5 linked regions of the Canis lupus familiaris genome follow. The protein of the gene in region 3 purifies or fractionates together with the protein of the main gene of each other region. This does not show direct contact. Links are inferred from orthologs where the notes say so. Each region holds a gene or a part of one and is shown on either strand. Other genes may lie near its edges.

Region 1 (3,942 bases), on a different chromosome or scaffold from region 3:
AATTCCCTCGAATGCAACTCTCTTTTTTGAGGTAAGTATGTGTGTGATGTTGCCTTTTTAGCATCTGTTCTACTATAGTGCTGGCTCTGAAGCAACAGGCAGTGGAACAAGGAGCTAAGCTTGCTATTGAGGATCAGATCCGACTTATTTATTTTGGAGCTTGGCTTCTTGAATTGTTTCCCACAAACCCAAGGGGTGTGTGCCAATGCTTTCTTAGAAACGTGTTTCTGGCACAGAAAAGTTATATCCAAATAAACAAAAGACACCAGGCTTGAGAAATAAAGGTTCTGGTCAGTGGTGTGAGTATAACATACCCAAAATTGACCAGAAAACAGGTTGGAAATGTGGGAGGTAAGTGTTGAAATGTACTGAAACCACATTGTAAGATATTTTCATGTTATACAGGCTTACTGTTTGTCACAGATCTCACTTCTTCATTAGAAGCTGTAGGTGGTGATAATGTTATTCATCCTGTATTGAATTATATATATATTTGTCAAGATCTGACTTAAAAAATGAAGGGAGGAAATGCCTGAAACATCATAATTAGGTAAAAAAAAACACCTTTAGTTGTCCATAAGCCTGATTCATAGGATTTATTTTTACATTTAAAAAGGGAATTCCATGAATCTGGGCTGGAAAGGTGGTGGCCTTTAGAGTCCGACAAAATAGTTCTGGGCCAGCACCTTGGAGCTCTGGCTTTTTGCCCACAAGGCAGCCCTCCTAGTGTTTCCTGTCTGTCTTTGCACTGCAGTCCCACAGGATGCAGTCCTAGACATTATCATTACATGAAGGCTCTTTCCAGGTATTGAAAGTGCAGTGTTCTTTTTTTCCTACTTTTCCAATAACTGAGATACATAGATAAATATAAAAGAGTTTTATTTTGTAAAATGAAAGGAGAATTGGTTGCCCTTGTTTTTAAGTATGTTAAATTGGCTCTGTTTGGTTTTTTCTCAGCCAAATCCTTTTTTTCCTTTCTAGATTGAGCTCCTTGATTTCAAAGGAGAAGATTTATTTGAAGATGGAGGCATTATCCGAAGAATCAAACAGAAAGGAGAAGGATATTCAAACCCAAATGAAGGAGCAACAGTAGAAAGTAAGTATCGCTGTGACAGTGAACTGGTCCTTAAAAATTGGGTTCCATTTATAGGGAGAAAAGGGAGGTTTCTTTCTAAAAATCTATTTATAGCAATAAACAATTGAATATAGCCCGAGAATAGTTTTAAATTCAACATTTATTTAATACTGACTTTATTTGGTAAATATTTATCTAGCATGCCCATGCCAGGTACTGTGCGAGCTTCTGCAGACCCAGAAGGTGAGGAAAAGGTAATCTTATCCATCAAGTCCCAAGTCTATTATGGACTCCTTGGTGTGCCAGCAACTATATTAGCTGCCTTACATATTTATTCATTTATTTCTTAAAATAACCTTACGAGATAAAATTTATTATCTCCAGATGAGGAAAATGAGTTCAGGAAAGTTATATAAATTGCACAGAGTACAGAGTTCTAAACAGAGCAGTTAGATTATAATGCCATTCAGAGCTCTCAAACCCATCTCACTGGCTTTCCTCAAGGTCAAAAAGTTTATTTTAGTTAGATCATAATTGATAATAGTGTTCATTCTATTCTGTGTAGGAAATCTGGGTTCAGGTTGCTTTGCCATTTACTGGATGACTTAAAGCTATTCTGTGTTTTTATTTGCTGTGTTGGGAATAAGGAGATACTGTCGAGGACTGGGATACCCAGTCACTCTTTGTTCCTCCCAGAGCCTGTTCTGTATACCATTATGTACATCACTTGCCACTTTATGCTGTAATCAGTGTTTACCCATTTCCCCAGTATGCACCTTGAGGACCAGAATCTTTCTTCATCTTTTTGTTTCCAGCATCACCTACAGGGCCTTACATGCATTTGGTGTTCGGTAGATGCTTTCTGCGTGGATAGATGTTTGAAAGATGCCATTCATTTGCTTCATAAAGCTGAAATACTTTAAAAAGGAGAGTTGTGAGAAAACAGAAATATTTCCACTAAGAAAACAATCAAAGCACTAAACAAGGGTGGCAATATGAACTATTATAAAAGGCCTATTTAAAATAGAGTCCAGGGTGCCTGGGTGGCTCAGTCAGTTGAGCATCTGCTTTCAGCTCAGGTCATGATCCTGGGGTCCTGGGATTGAGCCCCATATCAGGCTCTCTGCTCAGTGGAGAGTCTCCTTCTCCCTCTCCTTCTACCCTTCCCCCTGTTCATGTTCACTCTCTCTCTCTCTTGCTCTCAAATAAAATCTTAAAAAAAAATAAAAATAAGTTAGAGTTCCTTTGGAACAGTAAGCTAGAATGGTTGATTTTCTTATCTTTACTGTAGTATTTATTATTTGAGACCCGTGTTTCATTTTGGGGAGTCTGGAAGATTAGTTCAAATGGAGTTATTCATTTAGGTGGAAACAATTATAAATAGTATTACTATATTATTGCAGTTGAAATGTTTAGGTAGCTATCATTCATGGTAAGTTTTAGAATAAACGAAGAGGAGCTCAGATGTTAGAGAAATACATAGACCAGTAGTCAGAGAGAGGATTCTGGCTTCAGCGGACTCTAACTAACCCTTGAGTCTCTGGGCTTTAGCTTCCTTTCTTTACAGTGATCCTGTAGGTCCTGCTAGCACTGAGCATTCCATGATAGAATTCTAAATGTTTATGAAAGTCACAAGGATGATAGAAAATTATCTTTAGCAAGTACGTGAAAAGATTATCTATACTACACATTTTAATTTTTTAATGAAAAATTTCAGGCATATACAAAAATGGAGATTTTTCCCTATGTTACAGTTACTCCTCAGATTCAACAGTTTATAATGTATATTTCTAAACTGGAGGATTTTGGTAACCAAATTAAAAGGAAAAACTTTTCCCAGTTATAAACAATGCCGCAAAGCTACCACTGCAGAGTTAACTTTGGGGCAGGCTAAATTAAATCAGATCTTGCTTTTAGTAGTATTTTCAGTGGGAATCTTTATTTTCAACTTTCTGTTTTAAAATAATTTTCAACTTACAAACTGTGAAACTAGTACAGAGAATTTTCTTATATGCTTCAAGCTTTTCCTAATGTTCACATCATCCCTCACCACAGTACATTTATCAAAATCAGGAAATTAACAAGGAGCAATACTATTAACTGTTCTACAGATCTTAGGTGAGTTTCATCAGTTCCCACACTGATGTCCTTTTTCTGGTCCATGGTCAGATTCAGGATCTACTGTGATATGTAGTCTCTCCAGTCTGAGACAGTTGGATCAGTCTTTCTGTGATTTTCATTATTTTAGCACTTTTGAAGACAACCGTCTGGTTATAAAATATACTTCAGTTTGGGTTTGTCTGATTAGATTGAAGTTACACATTTTTTGGAAAAATATCATATAAGCAATAGTGTGCCTTTCTCAGTTCAATCATTATCAGGAGACATGTGATAGTGATGATGTAACTTGGGTCCCTTGGTTAAGGTGGGATCTGCCAAGTTCTGCTTTGTAAAATTTCCTATTTTTGCCTTTCTAAGTATCTCATTGGGAGAGAACTACTAGGAGATGGATGATCCCAAGATCTTCTTTTACATTACACCTTAACAGTGATTTTAGCATCCATGAATGATTTTTTTTCCCCATGGATGACTTTTGTATGCAACGGTTATAACTGTAGTATTTGCCTAATGGTGATTTTTCTATTTCCATTGTTCCTTCTTCAATGTAATTGGAATTCTGCTATAAGGAGGGGTTTCTCCTCCCCTATTTATTCAGTTGTTTATAATAGTATGGACTCATGGGAGTTTATTTTATTCTGTAGGTTATTATTCATTGCTATCTTATTTATGTTGTTGCTCAAATTGTCCCAAGTTTGGTCATTAGAAAGTGCTTTTCAACATACCTCCTGTGGTTTTTTTTAAAGCAC
Region 2 (4,556 bases), on a different chromosome or scaffold from region 3:
CCCCTCTAAAAGCACTGGTCATCTGATGCCCTTGGGTCATGTACTAGCATTTGTCTGAATGCCAGTCTCTCACCTAGCTAGAGTCTAACTAGAGTCCAGAGTCTAACTCTAGAGGCTCTCACCTAGCCCAACACAGTCAGCAACAGGCAATTACTAGATGGTCACTGAGAAGACCCCCTGGTCCCACCAGCAAACACAAGCCCTATAAGGAGGGAGGCAGAGCCACTCCCTTGCACCCCTAGATCTCACCACCAATCAAGAGTACTAGACACGTGTTGTGGGATAATTGAGTGAACACCACTTTGGGTAAAGGATGGGTCATGCCAGAAGTTTGTTTTAAGCAGCCAAAATCACATCCAACAGCAAGAGGGGTGGTCAGTGTATTCCAACTACACTATGGCCTTTCTACTCTCACAGCATGGCCTCTTACTCCTTTTCTGGGTTCTGGATTTTATCTCACACTAACCACTAACACCACTGCTGCAGGGGCCCCACACACACACCCCACGCGGCATCTGGAACCAGCCTGGCCACTCCACCTCAGTACAATATGGCCTGCCACCAGGCGGTGTCACTTTCTTTTCTCTAGATCTCTCCTTCTAAAACCAGTTGCTCTGATGTCACCATGATAGCCATACATATATATAATACTTTAAATATGCAAGAATTTTCCCATGACTTATTTTAGTTTGACATCCCCATGAGGTAGGCAAAGCAAATTCTTATCTCTGACAAATGGGAGAAACCAAGTGAAGGGCTCGCTCAAGCAATCAGCGTTCCTGGTATATTATGCCTAATTTTTCATGTACAATATGGCTTAAAAATATCTGTTAATTATCTTAGCAACGTAAACAAAAACAACTCATTCTAAAATAGAATGCTCATTCTTGCATATTTGGGTCACCACCCTGGTAGCCACACAGCAGCTGGTTACCCGCACCCTGAGCTCCCCCGTGAAAGGGAGGGCTGGCTAACCCCTCATCTTCAGGCTGAGACCTTCTTTACCCAAACGTGTGCACACATGGAAGGCAAAGGAGCTGCGATCAATAAACACGGAAGCAAAGCACCTAATGGGTTCTGCAGTGGGAAGTGAACAGGCAGGCAGCACCACCCCAGTCCTGCCCAGTTTGCCCAGTCTGCAGCAGCTTTCAGAGAGAGGGATCCACTGTGCACTCCCACCCCGTGCCCAGGCCCGAGAACAAACAAAATCACATTCTTCATGGATTCCTCTACTCTTTGTGTATGTGTGTGCGTGTGTGCATCTGCATGTACCTGTTTGGACAAACATTCACTGGGTGGTGGTTGGGGACCAGGGGCTTGACCCAGTTGGGGGTCTCCTTAGGGCCCAAGTAAGGGCTGCGCCGCACGTCCTCCCACCTGACTTGCTCGTAGGGAGGCCGGAGAAGGCCACCACCCGCTGCTCGGGTTGCAAAACCCCAGGGTGGGCGCACGACCCCGCCCGGCGCTCCCTCGCGACGGACAAAGTAGCCGCGGACCGATCGATGCCACCAAAGTCCAGGCAGGGCTGCCGGCGTGGCCGGGGCTGAAGTTCGCTGTAGCTCTGCACGCCTGGGGGAACCCCAAGTCTCCAAAAGCCCGAAATGTGCTTCCCGGGGGCGGGGGGTGGGCAGAGCAGCTCCGGGCCCCGGGCCCCGGGCGCAGGCACACTCGGAGAGGAATCCGAGAGAAGAAAGGTCCATTTGGGGGCGCAGCTACGCACACAGCTACACACACACACACACACACACACACACACACACACACACACCCCGCCCGCTGTCCCCGCCCACCGCCCCTCCCCTGCGTCCCCGGCAGCCGCGCGCGGCTCCACCTCTCCGAAGCGCAGTCCACACCGTCCTTTTTCAACAAAACAACACTACGCACCGCCCCCAGCACCCGCACCGGGCGGGATTCGGGGCTACGCCCAGCCCGCCCCAGCCGCGCCCCGCGCCCCGCGCCCCCGCCGCTCGCCGAGCCCCGGCCGCGCGCAGCTGGGCAGGGAGACGCAGCCCGGGCTCGGCGGCCCAGCGCGACCCTGCGCCGCCACCCACCCCCGAGCGCCCGAAGTGACAGGAGGGGCACGCTTGGCGCGCGCGGGGCGTCCCGCCTTAACCGCTTCGGCGCCGGGGCGGACGACGGCGGCGCGAGGGCGGGAGCGGGGACCGCGCTGCCTGCACTCACCGGAATGTGCACTCGCAGCGAACGCCGCTTCTGGCTCGGGTTTTTCTTCCCGCCGCTCCCGCCGGGGCTGGAAACATCTTTTTTCTTCTTGGTGTCCATGGCCGCGCTTCCCATAACTTTAGCCAGAAGTTAATTCCGGGTGCCTCGTCCTGCAGTCGCGTCCTCTCCTTCCTCGCCGGCCCCCGCGGCCGGCCTCGAGCCGCGCGCTCTTCGCGACCGTCCTTCCACCCCGAGGACACGGCGCGGGGACTTCCGCGGGGAGGGAAGGTGGCGCAGGTACCTCCGGCCGCCGCCGCCGGCAGGGATGGCGGGCGGCGAGAGCGCGGAGTTCACGTGTCCCCTTCCTCCTCACGGGCTCAGCGATGCAAAACCAAAGCCAAAGGCGGTCCTGGCTCCGCTGTCCCTCCGGGTTACGCGTGGCAGAGGTCTCCCGCTGGGTGACAAAGTTTTCTTCCTTTTGCAAGGCGAAGCAACATTTTCCCCCCTCTCAGCTCCGCCCACGGACGCCCAGAGGTAATCTGAAAGGCAGGTGCAGGTGAAGACCGCAACCGGGAAGACAGCCCTCCCGTGCCCGCGCCGAGGCGGACAAGCTGGCCAGAGCCGACAGTTTGTGTGCAAATAGAATCCTCGGCCGCAGAATGCGCCAGCCGGGAGCCTGGGACTCGGCCCGTCCCCCTTCTGGGCGCGAGGGGGGAGGGGGGGGAGGGAGGAGGAGGCGTCCCCGCGAACGCCCCGGCAACTGGGCTCCGGCTCGGCTGCGCGCACGAGGGCTGGCGGCGGCTGGGCTCGCGGGCCCGGCAGGCGGAGGGCGCGCCCGCTGCGGCGCGGGGACGGGGGACGGGGGACGGGAGCCGGCGGCCAGGGGCGGCGCGGCCCGGACGCAGGCTCGGCGAGCGCGGAGCGCCCGGAGGCCGCGTGCCCCGAACAGGAAGTGCACGGCGCGCGCCGCCCGCCCGCTCCCCCCGCCGCCCCGGCCGCCCCCGGGTCTCCGGCCCCGCGGGCGGCGGCTCCCCTCCCCTTCCCTCCCCCGCGGCCGCGGCGGCGCGGGAGCGGCGGGCGCGCGGGTCTGATGCATTCCGTGTCCCAGCGCCCCTGAAACACGCCCGCGCCCCGCCCCGCCATCCCCGCAGCGGCGGAAGCCCCGGCTGGCGGGGGATGCGCACTGACCCGCACTTGTTTCCGGGACCCCCGCGGCCCCCGGGTCGGTCTCCGCCTGGCGTGCGGACTCCAGTGCGCCCCGGGGCGCGGTCGGCGTAGCTGGGGAGAGCAGCTTTTCACGGTCCCCCTGCCCCCCACCGGCTCCCGGCTTCTCCCGGGTTCGCCGAGAGCTGCGCAGTGATGGGCGGTTGGAGCCGGCGTGGAGTTCCCGGGCCGCGGCGCGGAGAGGGCCGGCAGCCCCGGGCGAGGCCGCCACGTGCCGCCGCGTGGCCGCTCGGGCGCGGCGCGTTGCCGAGGGGCTTGGGTGCTGGCGTCCCCCTGCGAGCGCCCCAGGGTGCTGCGACCTCGGCCCCCCCCGGGCGGCTGGCAGCAGGGGGAATGCGCAGTGGAGACGTCTCCTTTCCCGCCCTAGGTTCTGAGGACATAGTGACCCCAAAAGTCCCTGGAGCGCCCCGAATGCTGACGTCGGTCCCGCCTCTCCTCCTAAGCAGTAAATCAGGAAGGCCACGGGAGAAGAGCGGGCCTTAACTCCTGCCCAGGTGCGGAGACTTGAGCCCCCTCCTCAGGGGGGGAGGGGTTCGCCCGCCCGCCCTCGGGGTGGGGGCGGGGGAGGGGGGAGACGACACTCCTCTGGTGGCGCCTCCCACCCAGCCAGCCCGCAGCCAGTGGTTCCAGCCGTCTTTCCTGTGCTCTTTCCAGTCCTCCTTCCATCATCTGGTGTGAAATCCCCTGCGGTCTAGGTGGTTCCTTTTTCTCCCCTGCTCTTCAGGCCAGAATGAAGCCAGACTGGAAAATCTTGGAGGACTCCTTGCTTGACATAAATTTGAAATGCCCCGGGGCGGGGGGTGTGGGTTCAAAAATCAATTGGCCAACCTGGCCCTGCAAGGTGTGGAATTTCACACTTTGACCTTTTTCTGACTGGCTGGTGGGGGAGGGGGGGACATGAGACTGCCCATTTAGGGCCCTTTATTTCCCTAAATGCTGGAAATACTGGTTAGAAAAGGAGGGGGGGGGGGTTCCTTACCTATGCAACCAAGGGAACCCACCCTTACCCGCTCAGAATTCCTCCCCAAGTGTCACTTAAACTTCATCTCTTTAGCTTCCCATTTTTAATCCCTATCACAGTAATAATAATTTTCCAGGGTGTGGAAATCACTCCGTTCGACTAGAACTGATTTGGGAAGGAAAGATGGAGAAGGTGGGAAGGAGGGAGTTGA
Region 3 (4,633 bases):
CTTAACAAAAACTGCCATTTTAATTTACTGCAATAGTAACATGACTCTCTGTTCATCCATGCTTTTAAAACTGTTGTACCTAGGGAAAGGGGAGTGGATCCTGCAAGGGAATAGAGACTAACACCCTGATAGCCAGGATTAGAAAAGGGTAATTTGGAAATATAAAAGATAATTCAAGCATAATCCCAAACCAACTTTAGTAGTCTGTTTAAACTTTCCCCTCACAATGATATCATTGTTACCAAATGACTTTTTTAGCCTGTAATAGGAAACAAAATATCACTGCAAATTTATAGTTTCCTTTGCCCCCCAAAATAAAATTTCTTCTAAGCATATAATATCATAGTGGGAATTTGTCTGTGTATCAATATCATCTAATATTAGATGATATTGTAGATTAATATCATCTAATATCTAATATTCTGTTAGATTCCTTTCCTATGTTATATTTACCAACGTGTAACTAATTTTAAAAGCTCTATCTACTCCAAACTATCTCCATTGAAATACATGGCTAATCATATCATTCATAAGAATTCCTGTCAAATTAAGGCTAGTGTAAGTTACCAACACCACCATTGTAACAGCTGTTTTAACCTGCTCAAATGAGCATCTATGTCCACCTCTCTCTCTCCTAACAATTAATACCCATTCTGTATAGGTATTTATCCTGTCTCCCTCCACTAAGTATATCAGAATAAGATGCCCTCACCACACACACACTCAACAATGGGCCATATTCCACCATGGGTAACACTATCTCCCTTGCGAGTACCTACTTAGGAACATAAGCCTAAACCAATTGGCACAAGGCATCCCTGGTCCCAAGGACTAGATGAGCCCATGAGACTCGTGAGAGGTATGCTGAAGCTTCTGTGCTTTGGAGAGAGAAGCACAGAGATATTCTTGGCTAGGTTGATTTTCTATTACTATACTTGGAGCAAAAGCATCACAACTGCTTGACAACTTAAAAATGCACTGGATGAGGATTTTGACCAGTATCAACTGATGTATTTATGAACAAATTTAACCCTATCAATGAAACCTTTGATTCTTTGATGAATATTAGCTTTTCTATGATACAAGAGGAGAGGTTGATGGTATTTAGTATTCAAGAGAGGCACATGTGGAAGAATGAAGGCTAAGGAACAGCACTCACTGGAAGGATTCTTGTCACAGACATCACAGATCAAATTCAGAAAATGAAAAATCTCCTCTTGCTTTCCTATTTACCACCATGCCAAAAGCTACCTAGCAAACACAAATATGAGACCTGAATTACACAGGTCTTTATTAGAATGATGAGCATCCTAATCCAAGCAGAACCCTGGGAGGAATAAGGGCATCAAGACTGTCATCACTATTCTGGGGCATTAATGAGCACTTCTTACAAATATTTGTCAACTAAAAGCAGTTAGTAATTGCTAACAAGTAAAGAGACTGACAACATAGCTAAAAATAACTTTGAGGGCACAGAGACATCTTACTGGCCTAATATAGACCCACCCTGATGGCTCTTATTACCCTATTCTGGCATTTGCTTCTTACTTTCTTACATTGTTGGCCTTGCTGATTTTCATAAGAAGGCTTAGGCAGTTGCTTCCCTGTGGGCTATACAGCAATTTTCCAGTTCTATGACTCAGAAAGAGCAAGAGAAGGAAGGGTTCTCCTCTTCCATCCCTAGATAAAATCAGAAAATGTTTATTTAGCTCCGGTAAAGCAAGGCTCAGTTAATTCACTGTTCAGACTTTCACAACTTTTTTTCTTTCAAGTCAAACATTTACCAAGAGCTTGGTATATGCAAGTCATAGGTTATTTATCCAAAGCCAATGCATGAATTATATTTATCAGTTCCATGCTTCCTTCCTCTACATCCCTAATAGGTCAAATATCTTAAAGAAAAAATATTTATGCCTCACAAAATTTGCAATTAAACTTTTTGTGCCAGAATTGGTGGACTCGTGATCAAATGTGTTATTTCTAGAATACTGTGTTGAAACACAAGGGTAAGAGATTCCATACTTTCCTTAAAAAAAGTTCAAATGATGTGCGCTAAGTTATTAAAACACACATATCCTGTGAAAATAAGTGGAAACAAACTACGTTAATGAGCTAATAAATACCGTCTGGGGGCAACATCTGCACTACCTACCAAGTTTGGCACAGAGTCTGCAAAACTGGTAATTCAGAAACACTTGAAGGCACGGAGTCTGCGTTCAGAACATAAACCGTGCATCGCAAATACAGGACCAGTTTTATACTCATTAACTGCTCCGAACAAAAATTAGTCATCCTTCCCAACAAGATGGCCCTTTAAAAAAAAAAAAAAAAAATTCCGTAAGCTACCCCAAAGCAAGCTTACTTTCTGGGGGAGGCTGAGGAGGGGGCACCCATCGCACACTAAGAATCGGCCCCGGCAGGTAAGGGGAGAACCTCCTAGAGGGGACGGAAACGCGGACGACCCCGGGCGCCGCCAGGGGGGCCATGGGCTGGCGCGGAGCCGAGGGAGCGGCCGCGGGCCCCGGGAGGCCCTCGCCCCGGCCCCCCGCCCCCCAACCCCCGCCCCCCGCCCCGGCCCCCCGGGCGGCGCAGCCCCGCCGGCCCCACCTGGGCGAGTCCGCACCTCCGCACCTCCGCACCTCCGCAGCCCCGCCCCGCCCCACGCAGCGCCCAGCCGAGCCGAGCCCCTCGGGCCGCGGCGCCGTCGCCATGGCGACCGCCCCCTCCCCCCCCCCCCCCGCGGCCAGGCAGGGTCGCGCCGCAGTCCCGCGGCCGCTCGGACGCCGCTGCCGCCGCAGCCAGGCCGGGGGCTGCCGAGCCCGGGGCAGGGGGGCAGGGACGCCGGGGCGGGGGGCGGGGGCTGAGAGGCGCGGACGGCGCGCGGCGCGCGGGTCGCCGGCCGCCGCCGACCCTCGCCCCCGCGGTCCTCACCCTTCACTTTGCCGAAGGTGCCGACCCCCAGCGTGTCCCCCAGGATGTAGTGGCCGATCTTCACCCGCCCGTCGTGTTTCTGCTTCTCGGCCGTCGCCATCTTCCTCCAGGAACTGAGCCTGCGCATGGCGCCGCGGGAGGGGGCGGAGGGGGCGGGCAGGCCGCGCCGGGGCGGGGGCGGGGGCGGGGGCGGGGAGGGGAGGGGAGGGGACGCGGGCGGGCCGCCGGGCCTCCGGGCCTCCGGGCCGCCGAGCCGCCGCGCCGCCGCCAGCCGCGCCCGCCGGGCCCCCGCCCCCCTCGGCGCTCCCCCGCCCCGGCGCCGGCGCGCACGCTCCCCCTGGCGGGGCGGCGGGGGTCGCCGGCGGGGCCGCGGGGCCTCGGAGCCCCGGAGCCCCGGTTCCTCGCGCCGCCGCGCCGCGCCCCGCCCTGCCCGGGCCCCGGGGCTGCGGAGCGGGCGGCTGCGCTCCCCGGCGGCCGGTCCTGCCCGCGGCGACCCCGCTGCCGGCGACTCCCGGGGCGGGGCGGGGCCGGGCGGGCGGCTCTCCGGCGCCGCGGGCGGTGGGACGCGGCCGGGGACTGCGCCGGGCCGCCGGTTCCCACCCAGCCTGCTCATTTTTGCGGTGCGGATGGACCTGAGAAGCCCCCGGGAGGTGCCCCGACGGAGAGCATCTCCGACGGAGCCCCCTCGGCACCGGTCCCCTGCGGCTGCGGCTGCGGCTGCGGCTGCGGCTGCGCTTGGTGCCGTGAGCCCGTCCGTTGCCGCCGGGCGCCTCGACAGCCCTAGTGGCGTCGTCGGGCTTTCCTGCTCCTGGAGGCTTTTCTCAAGTTTCCTTCCCCAGGCAAGCCCCGTGGGAAAGGGCCGGTTGGGAACCCTGCGAACGGTATGTGTGCTCAGGAATGGGGTGTTACACACGTAGGAATTAACATTTTTAGGTTTCCGGTAAAATGTAGACTTTGAACTGAAGTCGAGGCTTAGGGTTGCATCAACCAAGTCAGTCGACAGATACTTACCGTACTTGCGATGAGTACAGTTTAGTCTATCATCTATACAAATGGGATGTGGCCTGTCACGGGGGGGGGGGGGCGGGGGGGAGGAGTTGAAATATGCTTGTTGGTATTAAATTTCTTAAAAGATCTTATTTATTCAGGAGAGACCCAGAGAGCGGCAGACACACAGGCAGGGGGAGAAGCAGGCTCCCCACAAGGAGCCCGATGTGGGACTCGATCCTCGGATCACACCCTGAGCCAAAGGCAGGTGCTCAACCGCTGAGCCTCCCAGGCGTCCCTGTGTTAAATGTTTAAGCCAGTTCACTACTCAGTTGAATTCCACTGACGTGAGCAAAGTGAAGTGTCCAAAAAAACAAGATACGATCTCAGTTTTGCAGTGTGATAGCGTTTGGGCCAGTGTCAATGGGCAGAGTTGAACCCATCGAGAAAATAATATAAAAAAGTAAGACTAAAAGTATTATCCTTTTTGTACCTAATCAAAGTTACCCAGCTCGTCTGACTGTTATATTCTGTTTATGAAAGCAAAATAACATGCATTAAGTACTGCAAGAGAAGCAAAAGCTTGAGTTTAGAATTACATCAACAGTTACAACTAGCCCTGGATAATCAGTTTCTGATGTATTATGGACTGCACATATTCTGAAGGGCCATAAAGTTAAGAAGTCTGATTACTAACATACTTGGGGAGTGGGCA
Region 4 (3,942 bases), on a different chromosome or scaffold from region 3:
CACCTCCAACCACCCAGCACAGTGGCCTCACATTCACACGTCTAACTCAAAGACAGTAATGATGCCGAATGAGGACTGGATCCTGCTTAGAGCCAAAAATTCTGTCCTATTCCAAACATCGAATGTCAAGACAAACATATTTCCAAAGATTTACTGAATTATCAAGTCCATGGGGACACCAGTAGAGGAGTCTATTCTCTCTGTTAGGTGGCATTTTATCACTACTTTAATAAGGAAATAATATACAAATTTACTTACCTGCAAATAGCCTATAGGTTCTGTGGCATTTAAAATTCTTATTTTTAACCCCTGGAGAAAGCAGTTCTGAAAAACAAAATACCAACAGCTGCAATCTATAAAAGCACTTAAAGAAAGTCTCAGAATGACAGAGCAAAGAGATGACAATGGTCCCCATTCACATCCGCCACCTGGCAGACCAGGAAAACCAACCCCACTGTATCCCCTCACGTGCACAAGCCCTGCCTGTGGTGGGGGGTGGGGGACCAGCCTCATGGTACAGCAATGCACATAACCAGCAACCAGTCCGTTCAGAAAGAATATACCGGTCCCAAGGAGCTCATGCTAGAAACCCCTTAAAAGCAGATATTTGGAAAAGAAGAAAGCTGCCCGCTTAGAAATAAAACAGCCCCAGGAAACCTAAGAACGAAATGTTTTACACATAAGACCACAAAACTTGCACTGTGTGACAGTCCGACGATCTCACCAGAGAGGCAATGGCCCATCAGCTGGGCAGGTGGGCAGCCCTGTCCTCGGGGGCCCCCGGTCCCTCTGCAGATGGACCCTTGTCACAGCCATGAGTGGCTGGTCCCTCCCATCCCCCACCCACAACCCACACCAGGGTAGGGTCTCTGGTCCTCCCTTAACTCATTTCTCTTTCTAGAAAGCATTTAAGGTAGCAGGTGATCTAAAAATACATCTAACAAGAAAAGATATAAACATAAAATCCATCTAGTCAGTCCAGACAGGTAATCTGGGCGTGAGGGAAGCTGCAGGAGTACAGGGCACAGGCTGCCCTGTTGGGCTCAGCCTGTGCTCCTCATTCCCTGACAGCCAAGGCACAACAGCATGGACGACCCAGTATATGATTCTCAGCTGGCATTCCTTCTCCTTTGGTTCTCAAATGGGATCAGGAAAATGTGCTGCCTTTGAATGAAGCAGTTCAAAGTGTGAAGGTGGATGGGACAATACCCTGGGACAGGAGTCAGAGCTAGCAGCTGAAGACTGGCTATGGAAATGCAGCTCCTCTGTCTGGGATTCTGGTCAGCAGGCTTGGGAAGGAGTGGAATGTGGCAATACTGTGTGGCAGGGATGGAAGACGAGGGGAAGGCAACAGCTTTGTTCCTCTGCAAAACCCAGAGATGACATTCCCACAATCTCTTTCCTGTTTCCCAGTTGACTAGAACAAGCCTCTAGTTTGTTCCCAATCAAGCCCAGAACCACACAGCATCTTTTTCACGAATCCTGAAGCTTTCAAGGAAAGTTTTCCTCTTTAAGCTGTGCTTTCACCAAGACAACCTGAACTTGAGGCTTTGGTGAAAATCATTGATGCTGCTGAGCTCTGAGTACCTGACAGATGCTTGTGGCAGAGAGAATGCCACTGATCTGACCCAGTGTCACTGCAATGTGAGGTTGGAGGGACCCCCAGTGGCCTATGGGCAACATTCTCTCACTTCACTGAAAAAGTTCATTTCACCAGGCTGTTCTAGGCAGTTAACACTTAGTAAAAAGAAAATTGTTTTGTACCACTAACCCATAAAACATTTCTAGGAAAATGGTGCTCACTTTGATGAACAAAAATCTCCTTTTTCTAACTTAGTAGGATTATATGGTTTATTCATTTTTGCCTTTATTTTTCAAGAGCTACTTTGGTGCCAATTTTAATACCAAGGTCTGTTGTAAGTTGAGAAATTTAAAACCAACAAGTCATGACAGAGAACTTCCTTACTCTCGACATTACAGAGAAACGCTAAGAGCCATGCTCACTGATTCCCAGGAGAACTGTCACCATGAATGCTTTCGCTCCCCACGTGTGTTACCTTTACTGATTTCCAAGTCCACAGGATATTCAATATTTTTTATGAGCTTCTGGCATCCACCAGTCTTCTCGTAAACAAACCGTTTCAGGTGCAGCACAAGAACAGGAGGGAGCTTCTCCAGAGTTACTCGTCGGCTTATCTCCACCTGAGGCACAAGGCAGAGCAGGACAGGACACACCTCACTTTACACACTTCATGCAGCAGATGCATACCTGTCACACAAGGCCCCCCTCTGAGGGCCCATGGCCTGAGGTTCCAGGGCAGCACTGCTCAACCCTTGCTGGGTTCAGGGAGCTTCTGATAATCTAACATTCTGCTCAAGGGCCTTTTGAGAGCTACTGACATTCCTCTGAGAAAAAAGGATACATCCCTATAAACACAATTGCAGAAGATCCCATGGATCCCTGAGCCTGTGGGTGAACTCCATGTTCAGAACCTTTGTTTTATGACATTCATGAACTGGCACAAAAATTTAAAAACGAACTTAGCAGCAGTATTTTGCATTATGTATGTATTAACATGCTTTCTTTAGTAAGTCCCATAGCATTAATCAAACTAAGGCCAGAGCTCGAAATGGGTGTTCTTAATAACCAAAAAGCTATCAATTCTAGCCATTAGTTTTTATAAGTTTCAGTTTTATCAACTTATATGCTCCTTACATGTTTTCACAGGTCTAATGAATGCTGCTTTTCATTAAAACACATCCTTGCAAACAATTCTTATTCCCCTTGTTTACTATCCTACTGCTCCTTGTACTTATTTTTTTTTAAGATTTTATTTATTTATTCATAACAGACAGACAGAGAGGCTGAGACACAGGCAGAGGGAGAAGCAGGCTCCATGCAGAAAGCCCGACATGGAACTCGATCTCGGGTCTCCAGATCACACCCCAGGCTGAAGGTGGCGCTAAACTGCTGAGCCATCAGGGCTGCCCATGCTCCTTGTACTTATAAACACTTTGATGCTTCCTGTATTTATATGAAGGATACTTTTGGTAGAAATATTTGTTTCAGTCACAATCCAAAAGAGATAAGAAACCAAGAAAGCTTTCAGAAGACCACATACACATCTGGATGGAGGGATCTTAATGGGCACCTGGCTTCCTACCCAGATTCCGATCCCAAGGGTGGGACCACCCAACATGTCTCCAGATTCCTATCCTGTGTCTGCAACCTGGGGTCTCCATAGCCAACAAGAACATGTGAACAATGAAGAAGTGTGGCTACAGCTCAACAGTTAAAAACCGGGATTCTGACAAGTGATCTCCAGCTCCCTCATTTGTGAATCGAGAGTTGGACAAACGTGTCTCTAGGATGCTTCTCAGGACTGGCAACCCAAGATTCTGACCTCAAGCTTTCAGGCAATTAATTAAGTGGCTAATCTGAAATTCTTCTGTGTGTTTTCGGTTTCCAGACAAACTGAGACACTTTTCTTCGCCCAAGAAAACCAGACCTTTTCTATACAGTAAGTATTTTACATAATATTTTCCCATGCACCTTCATCATTCTCCCACAGGAAAAAAAAAACCTTATGACCTTAAAATACAGGAACATTAAACTCAGTATTTTAGAAAGTAAATTTAAAAGAATTCACATTCCAGAAAACGTGATACTTGCTCTTTCCAGATATTCCCACCCCATACAAGCTGTCCAAAATCTTCCTCTCTCAAACATCTGCTTTTCTGAGTGTTTTCGCTCTTAATCTGGTAACACACCACCCTCATCATGGAGTGTTTCATTTTCTTCAAGGCTCCACCAAAATGCTTCTTCTCTCCTGCATCCTTCCTCCACCTGCTATCCAAAACGAGCCACCTAATCCACATCCTCATCTTCACACTCTCCCCAGCTATCTGATCTGTGCCCTCCCCAGAGTCCACAGCTAACTG
Region 5 (4,523 bases), on a different chromosome or scaffold from region 3:
TCATCAATAGCCCTTTCTACGCTCCAGCTGTACCATGCTCACTCTTTAACACATGTGCCCCTTGCATACCAACATCGACTTATCCCCCCAGTCTTGGGATCACCATCCTGTCCTCCAGGATGCCTTCCTGGTCCCACTCCCATGCCCAGAAGGCCAGCTTCTCCCACAGCAGCCCATACTCTCAGAGCCTGATCACTTTCAGAGTGACCGCTCGGGTTGCTGCCCCCGGACACTCAGCTCTGTGCGGCCAAGGACCACATCTAACTTGCTTGCCACTCAGCATGGGGCAGGGCTTTCCTAGACACTGTCTTCTGAATGAGCATATGTGTTTCTCTAGGATTCTACAAAATGCTCACATTCTTGATGTCAGTACAACATTCTACTGAGCATATCAGACATGATTCTCCTACTACAGAGAGTTGTCATTTTCTCTGTTATATATAATCTACAATGAACAGAAGGCTTTTGTTTGTTTGTTGTACATCTGGCAGAGATTCTCAGGAATGGAATCACTGAGTCAACACATATGAACTCTTTTAAGGTTCTTGATTTATATTGCCAAGTTCAGCGAGCGCCGCTACCTTTTAGCATCTCCCATGAAGTAGGGCTGCCCTGCAGTATGCTGGCAATGGGTTGCTGACTCCTCTCAGCTCTGGGGAACCCCTGGGCGGCCCCCCATAGCTTCCCAGTGGCTTCAAGGCCTCCGGCTGGTCCCCTGCCACCTCGGGCAGCCTCACCCATTTCCCCCATGCACGGTACAAATATTATCATCTACGTGGCCTGTGGCCGGAGGCAGGTTGGGAGGCACTACCACAGAGCTCTAATGTGCCTGAGTGGAAAAGTGCAGGCCCCGAAGGTTAAGAACACATGGTTCACATCCGGCTCCCTCATTTCAGGTCCCACCTCAGGCCAGGGGCCCACACCAAAAACTCCTTCACCATTGACTCCTCCTAAAGCAGATGAGCCCATCTTTGATCTTCCTCTCAAGTCCACCCCCCTCTTTTCTGGCTCTTACTGCCTCTACCCTGGGTTAGCTCCTCACAACTGCTTGGTCCATTACAGTAGCCCAGTGGTTGTGAAACTTAAGTGAGCAACAGAATCACCTGGATGACTTGTTAAAACATTGATTGTGGGGCCTCAGCCCCAGAGTTTCTGATTCAGTGGGCCTGGGGTGTGGGCAGAGAAACTGTAATTCCAACACGTTTCCAGGTGATGCTGCTACTGTTGGCCCAGGGACCACTCTGGGAAAAGCACTATAAACTCCACGTGGGCAGTAACCATATCTGTCTTATTCCAAGTAACATCCCACATGATGCCTGCACATAGTTGATCCTCAATACATGCCCATCAATGACTGAACTGAATGACTCTTGAACCCGTCTGTCCTGTCTCTATATTACAGCTAAAAAGACAGCTAATCCAATCACTCCCTTGCTTATAACCCATTAATGGCTCCCCATCATAATTTTTTTGAAATGGTACTTCCAGAGGAAGCCTCTTCATATTTTGATTCTAACACACTTCCAGCTTCTTCCAGCTTCTTATCCTACCACTCTCCTAACATGCTCCAAACTGCTCATCATTCCCGAAGAGGCCAGCTTCACCCCAGTCAGCTGCATCATTCAAGGCTCCTTTTCGCAAGAAGCTTCTCCAACCCCTCGAAACAGAGATGATCACTTCCTTCTCTGTGCCCCCACCTCTTCATAGTCTACTGCACCGGAATAATTTTCAAAAACTTTTCTGAGAAACTGCTGTTCCCAGGCACTGGGAGTGAGCAATGCTTCCCGTCCTATTCCTCCATCAAATGAGGAGTTCATGATATTTTCTATATTGTCAGATTTCAGGGTCTAGCACAACGCCTAATATTTGGGCTACTACTAATAACGCTTGCTGATCAAAAGTGAATGAAAAGCAAAGTGAAGGAGTGCAATGCGGCAATTATCCAGGTAGTTTAAATAAAAGCCTTAAGCCTTCTGTCCTCACCCCCAATGTGTCCCTGTCCTCAGACCCCTCAGCTTACAAAGATGGGGGAATAAATTACTCGTCTCAAATGTTCAAGGTTATCTACAGACAGTACCTTGAAAGCAGTATAGGAATGAATGTGTCAGGGGACCTGGCAATCTGGGTGGCTCAATCCGTTAAGCATTTGCTTTTGGCTCAGGTCATGATCCCAGGGTCGTAGGACGGAGTCCCGCATCACCCAGCTCCCTGCTCAGTGGGGAGCCTGCTTCTCCCTCTCCTGCTCCCTCTGCTTATGTGCATTCTCTTGTAGGAGATAAAATCTTTTTTTAAAAAAACGTTTTATTTATTTATTCATGAGAGACACACAGGCAGAGACATAGGCAGAGGAAGAAGCAGGCTCCTCGTAGGGAGCCCGATGTGGGACTCGATCCCAGGACCCGGGGATGACCATCTGAGCCGAAGGCAGATGCTCAACCACTGAACCACCCAGGTGCCCCCAGTAAAAAAAAAAGGAATTAATGTGTCCTGCACCTCAGACTCTGGCAAAGAGCCTCTGAGTCACTCAGTCATTCATTCAACAAACTTTCACGGAGCAGCTGCTCGGGTGCTCGAGGCACAGGCCTCTTGCAGGGTGAACTTGACGCGGGCCTGCAATCCAACCAGCAAAGCTGTACGTGAGGCTCCTGGTACAGAGCGAGCGCCACCGTGCTAGCTATTGCCCTCCTGCGCAGCTCACCCAAGAGGCAAGCTCGGGGAGGCCAGGTCACTGCAGAGGAGCAGAGGAGCACGGGAAGGAGCTCCCCGCCTCCCGGTTTCCACGGTGTCCGTCTGGGACAGCAAAGGAGCCCCAGACCTCGTTCTCCCGACGCGGCCCGGCCTTCACTGGCCGGCTGGCCCTGCTCAACCAACTTCGGTCTCGGGGTCTCGGTCTCCCCACACGTAAGATGGGGGGAGGGGGCGTCGGCCCGGCCCCCACGCGCTCCCAGCGGGTCCCTGCAGGGCTGGCGCTCCCAGGAACGCCGTGGCCCCCAAGGCCCGAGGTCCTCCACGCAGGAAGCGCTGTTATCCGAGAGTTCAGGCGACTGCGACCGCGCCGCACAGCCGCGACGGGATGCACGTGGACGCGCCGCCCCCGCGGTCCTCGGTCTCCGCGCTCACAGCCGAGCCCGAGCCCGAGCGCGCTCTCCACCCCGCCGGCCCCACCGGGCCCGCCCGATCCTCGCGGCCACCCAAGCTCACCAGCCCAGGCCGCAGTCAACGCCGCCCGCCCGCGCGCCCGCCGCGCCGGCCCAACGCGCCTGCGCCAGCGGGGTGCCAAGCCCCGCCTCCTGGCCGCCGTGCCAATCAGAGAGCCGCTCCCACGGGGAGCCAGGCGCGCGGGACAGGCCTTCCGGAAGTTGAGCGAGGGAGCTAGAGCCCCGCTCTCCTCCACGACCATAGATAGACCGGGACAGCGAGGAGTAAATTACCGTTCCGGAAGTCCCCTCTAGGACTTGGGGAGGTGTAACTCTATGGTAAGAGCCTGGCGCGGCGTGGGTGGCGTGGCGTGGCGCCCCGCTCTTGGAGTGGGACGGCCGCCGGCAGTGAGCCTTTCCGGTCGGAATCTACCCTGGGACTTCACAGGCTTTCCACTTTTTTTTTAAGATTTTATTCATTTATTCATAGACACACATAGAGAGAGGGAGAGGCAGAGACACAGGCAGAGGGAGGAGCAGGCTCCATGCAGGGAGCCCGACGTGGGACTCGATCCCGGGACTCCAGGATCACGCCCCGGGCTGCAGGCGGCGCCAAACCGCTGCGCCACCGGGGCTGCCCCAGGCTTTCCACTTAAATGCATTTAAAATTGTTAAGGATTTTATTTATTTATTTGAGACTGTGCGAGCAAGAGAAAGCGCAAATCGGGAGCGACAGAGCAAGAGGGAGAAGCTGACTCCCTGCTCAGCGAGGAGCCCCATGCAATTCTGGGCTCCATCCCAGGACTCTGCGGTCGTGATCAGAGCTGAAGGCAGACGCTTGACCGACTGAGCCACTGGGCACCCCCATTAGAAAAAAAAATGTTTTTTAAAAGATTTTATGTAATTATTCATGAGAGAGGCAGGGACACAGGCAGAGGGAGAAGCAGGCTTCCTGCAGGGAGCCTGACGTGGGACTTGATCCTGGGCCTCCGGGAGCATGACCTGAGCCAAAGGCAGACGCTCAACCACTGAGCCACCCAGGTAACCCCCCCCCCCCATTTAAAATTTTTAAGTAGAAAAAAAAATACCTTCATTACAAAGCCCAAGACAGTTTTTAAGACACTAAATCAAATGTTCATTCCCAAATATATATATATATTTTAATTTTTAAAGATTTTATTTATTCATAGGAGACACAGAGAGAGGCAGAGACAGGAAGAGGAAGGAGAAGCAGGCTCCATGCAGGGGAGCCCGACATCAGACTCAATCCCGGGACTCCAGGATCAGGCCCTGAGCCAAAGGTAGTGGCTTAACCGCTGAGCCACCCAGGGATCCCTCAAAATACTTTTTTGATTAGCTACCACATACCAACCACTTGGAGAAACT

Evidence for each region.
Region 1: the proteins of PRKAA1 (region 3) and FKBP5 purify together in Homo sapiens (affinity purification with mass spectrometry; 3 studies listed by BioGRID and IntAct, with this or other methods). This does not show direct contact. The link is inferred for Canis lupus familiaris from reciprocal best matches to the Homo sapiens genes PRKAA1 and FKBP5.
Region 2: the proteins of PRKAA1 (region 3) and PRKAG2 purify together in Homo sapiens (affinity purification with mass spectrometry; 8 studies listed by BioGRID and IntAct, counting the BioPlex papers as one, with this or other methods). This does not show direct contact. The link is inferred for Canis lupus familiaris from reciprocal best matches to the Homo sapiens genes PRKAA1 and PRKAG2.
Region 4: the proteins of PRKAA1 (region 3) and USP10 purify together in Homo sapiens (affinity purification with western blotting; 3 studies listed by BioGRID). This does not show direct contact. The link is inferred for Canis lupus familiaris from reciprocal best matches to the Homo sapiens genes PRKAA1 and USP10.
Region 5: the proteins of PRKAA1 (region 3) and PARS2 purify together in Homo sapiens (affinity purification with mass spectrometry; 3 studies listed by BioGRID and IntAct, with this or other methods). This does not show direct contact. The link is inferred for Canis lupus familiaris from reciprocal best matches to the Homo sapiens genes PRKAA1 and PARS2.

The regions. Positions count from the first base shown.
Region 1 is NC_049233.1:4,937,699-4,941,640, reverse strand, and holds part of FKBP5 (peptidyl-prolyl cis-trans isomerase FKBP5), read left to right. Parts: coding exon 1-31; intron 32-981; coding exon 982-1,096; intron 1,097-3,942. UniProt on the Homo sapiens protein: Immunophilin protein with PPIase and co-chaperone activities. Component of unligated steroid receptors heterocomplexes through interaction with heat-shock protein 90 (HSP90).
Region 2 is NC_049237.1:16,510,163-16,514,718, forward strand, and holds the start of PRKAG2 (5'-AMP-activated protein kinase subunit gamma-2), read right to left. Parts: upstream 2,851-4,556; 5' UTR 2,296-2,850; coding exon 2,182-2,295; exon of another isoform or gene 2,054-2,181; intron 1-2,053. UniProt on the Homo sapiens protein: AMP/ATP-binding subunit of AMP-activated protein kinase (AMPK), an energy sensor protein kinase that plays a key role in regulating cellular energy metabolism.
Region 3 is NC_049225.1:69,495,427-69,500,059, reverse strand, and holds the start of PRKAA1 (5'-AMP-activated protein kinase catalytic subunit alpha-1), read right to left. Parts: upstream 3,059-4,633; coding exon 2,932-3,058; intron 2,501-2,931; exon of another isoform or gene 2,487-2,500; coding exon of another isoform or gene 2,363-2,486; intron 2,287-2,362; exon of another isoform or gene 2,153-2,286; intron 1,681-2,152; exon of another isoform or gene 1,549-1,680; intron 1-1,548. UniProt on the Homo sapiens protein: Catalytic subunit of AMP-activated protein kinase (AMPK), an energy sensor protein kinase that plays a key role in regulating cellular energy metabolism.
Region 4 is NC_049226.1:68,236,920-68,240,861, forward strand, and holds part of USP10 (ubiquitin carboxyl-terminal hydrolase 10), read right to left. Parts: intron 2,203-3,942; coding exon 2,058-2,202; intron 325-2,057; coding exon 259-324; intron 1-258. UniProt on the Homo sapiens protein: Hydrolase that can remove conjugated ubiquitin from target proteins such as p53/TP53, RPS2/us5, RPS3/us3, RPS10/eS10, BECN1, SNX3 and CFTR.
Region 5 is NC_049226.1:54,855,486-54,860,008, reverse strand, and holds the start of PARS2 (probable proline--tRNA ligase, mitochondrial), read right to left. Parts: upstream 3,156-4,523; 5' UTR 2,699-3,155; intron 2,693-2,698; exon of another isoform or gene 2,494-2,692; intron 1-2,493. UniProt on the Homo sapiens protein: Mitochondrial aminoacyl-tRNA synthetase that catalyzes the specific attachment of the proline amino acid (aa) to the homologous transfer RNA (tRNA), further participating in protein synthesis.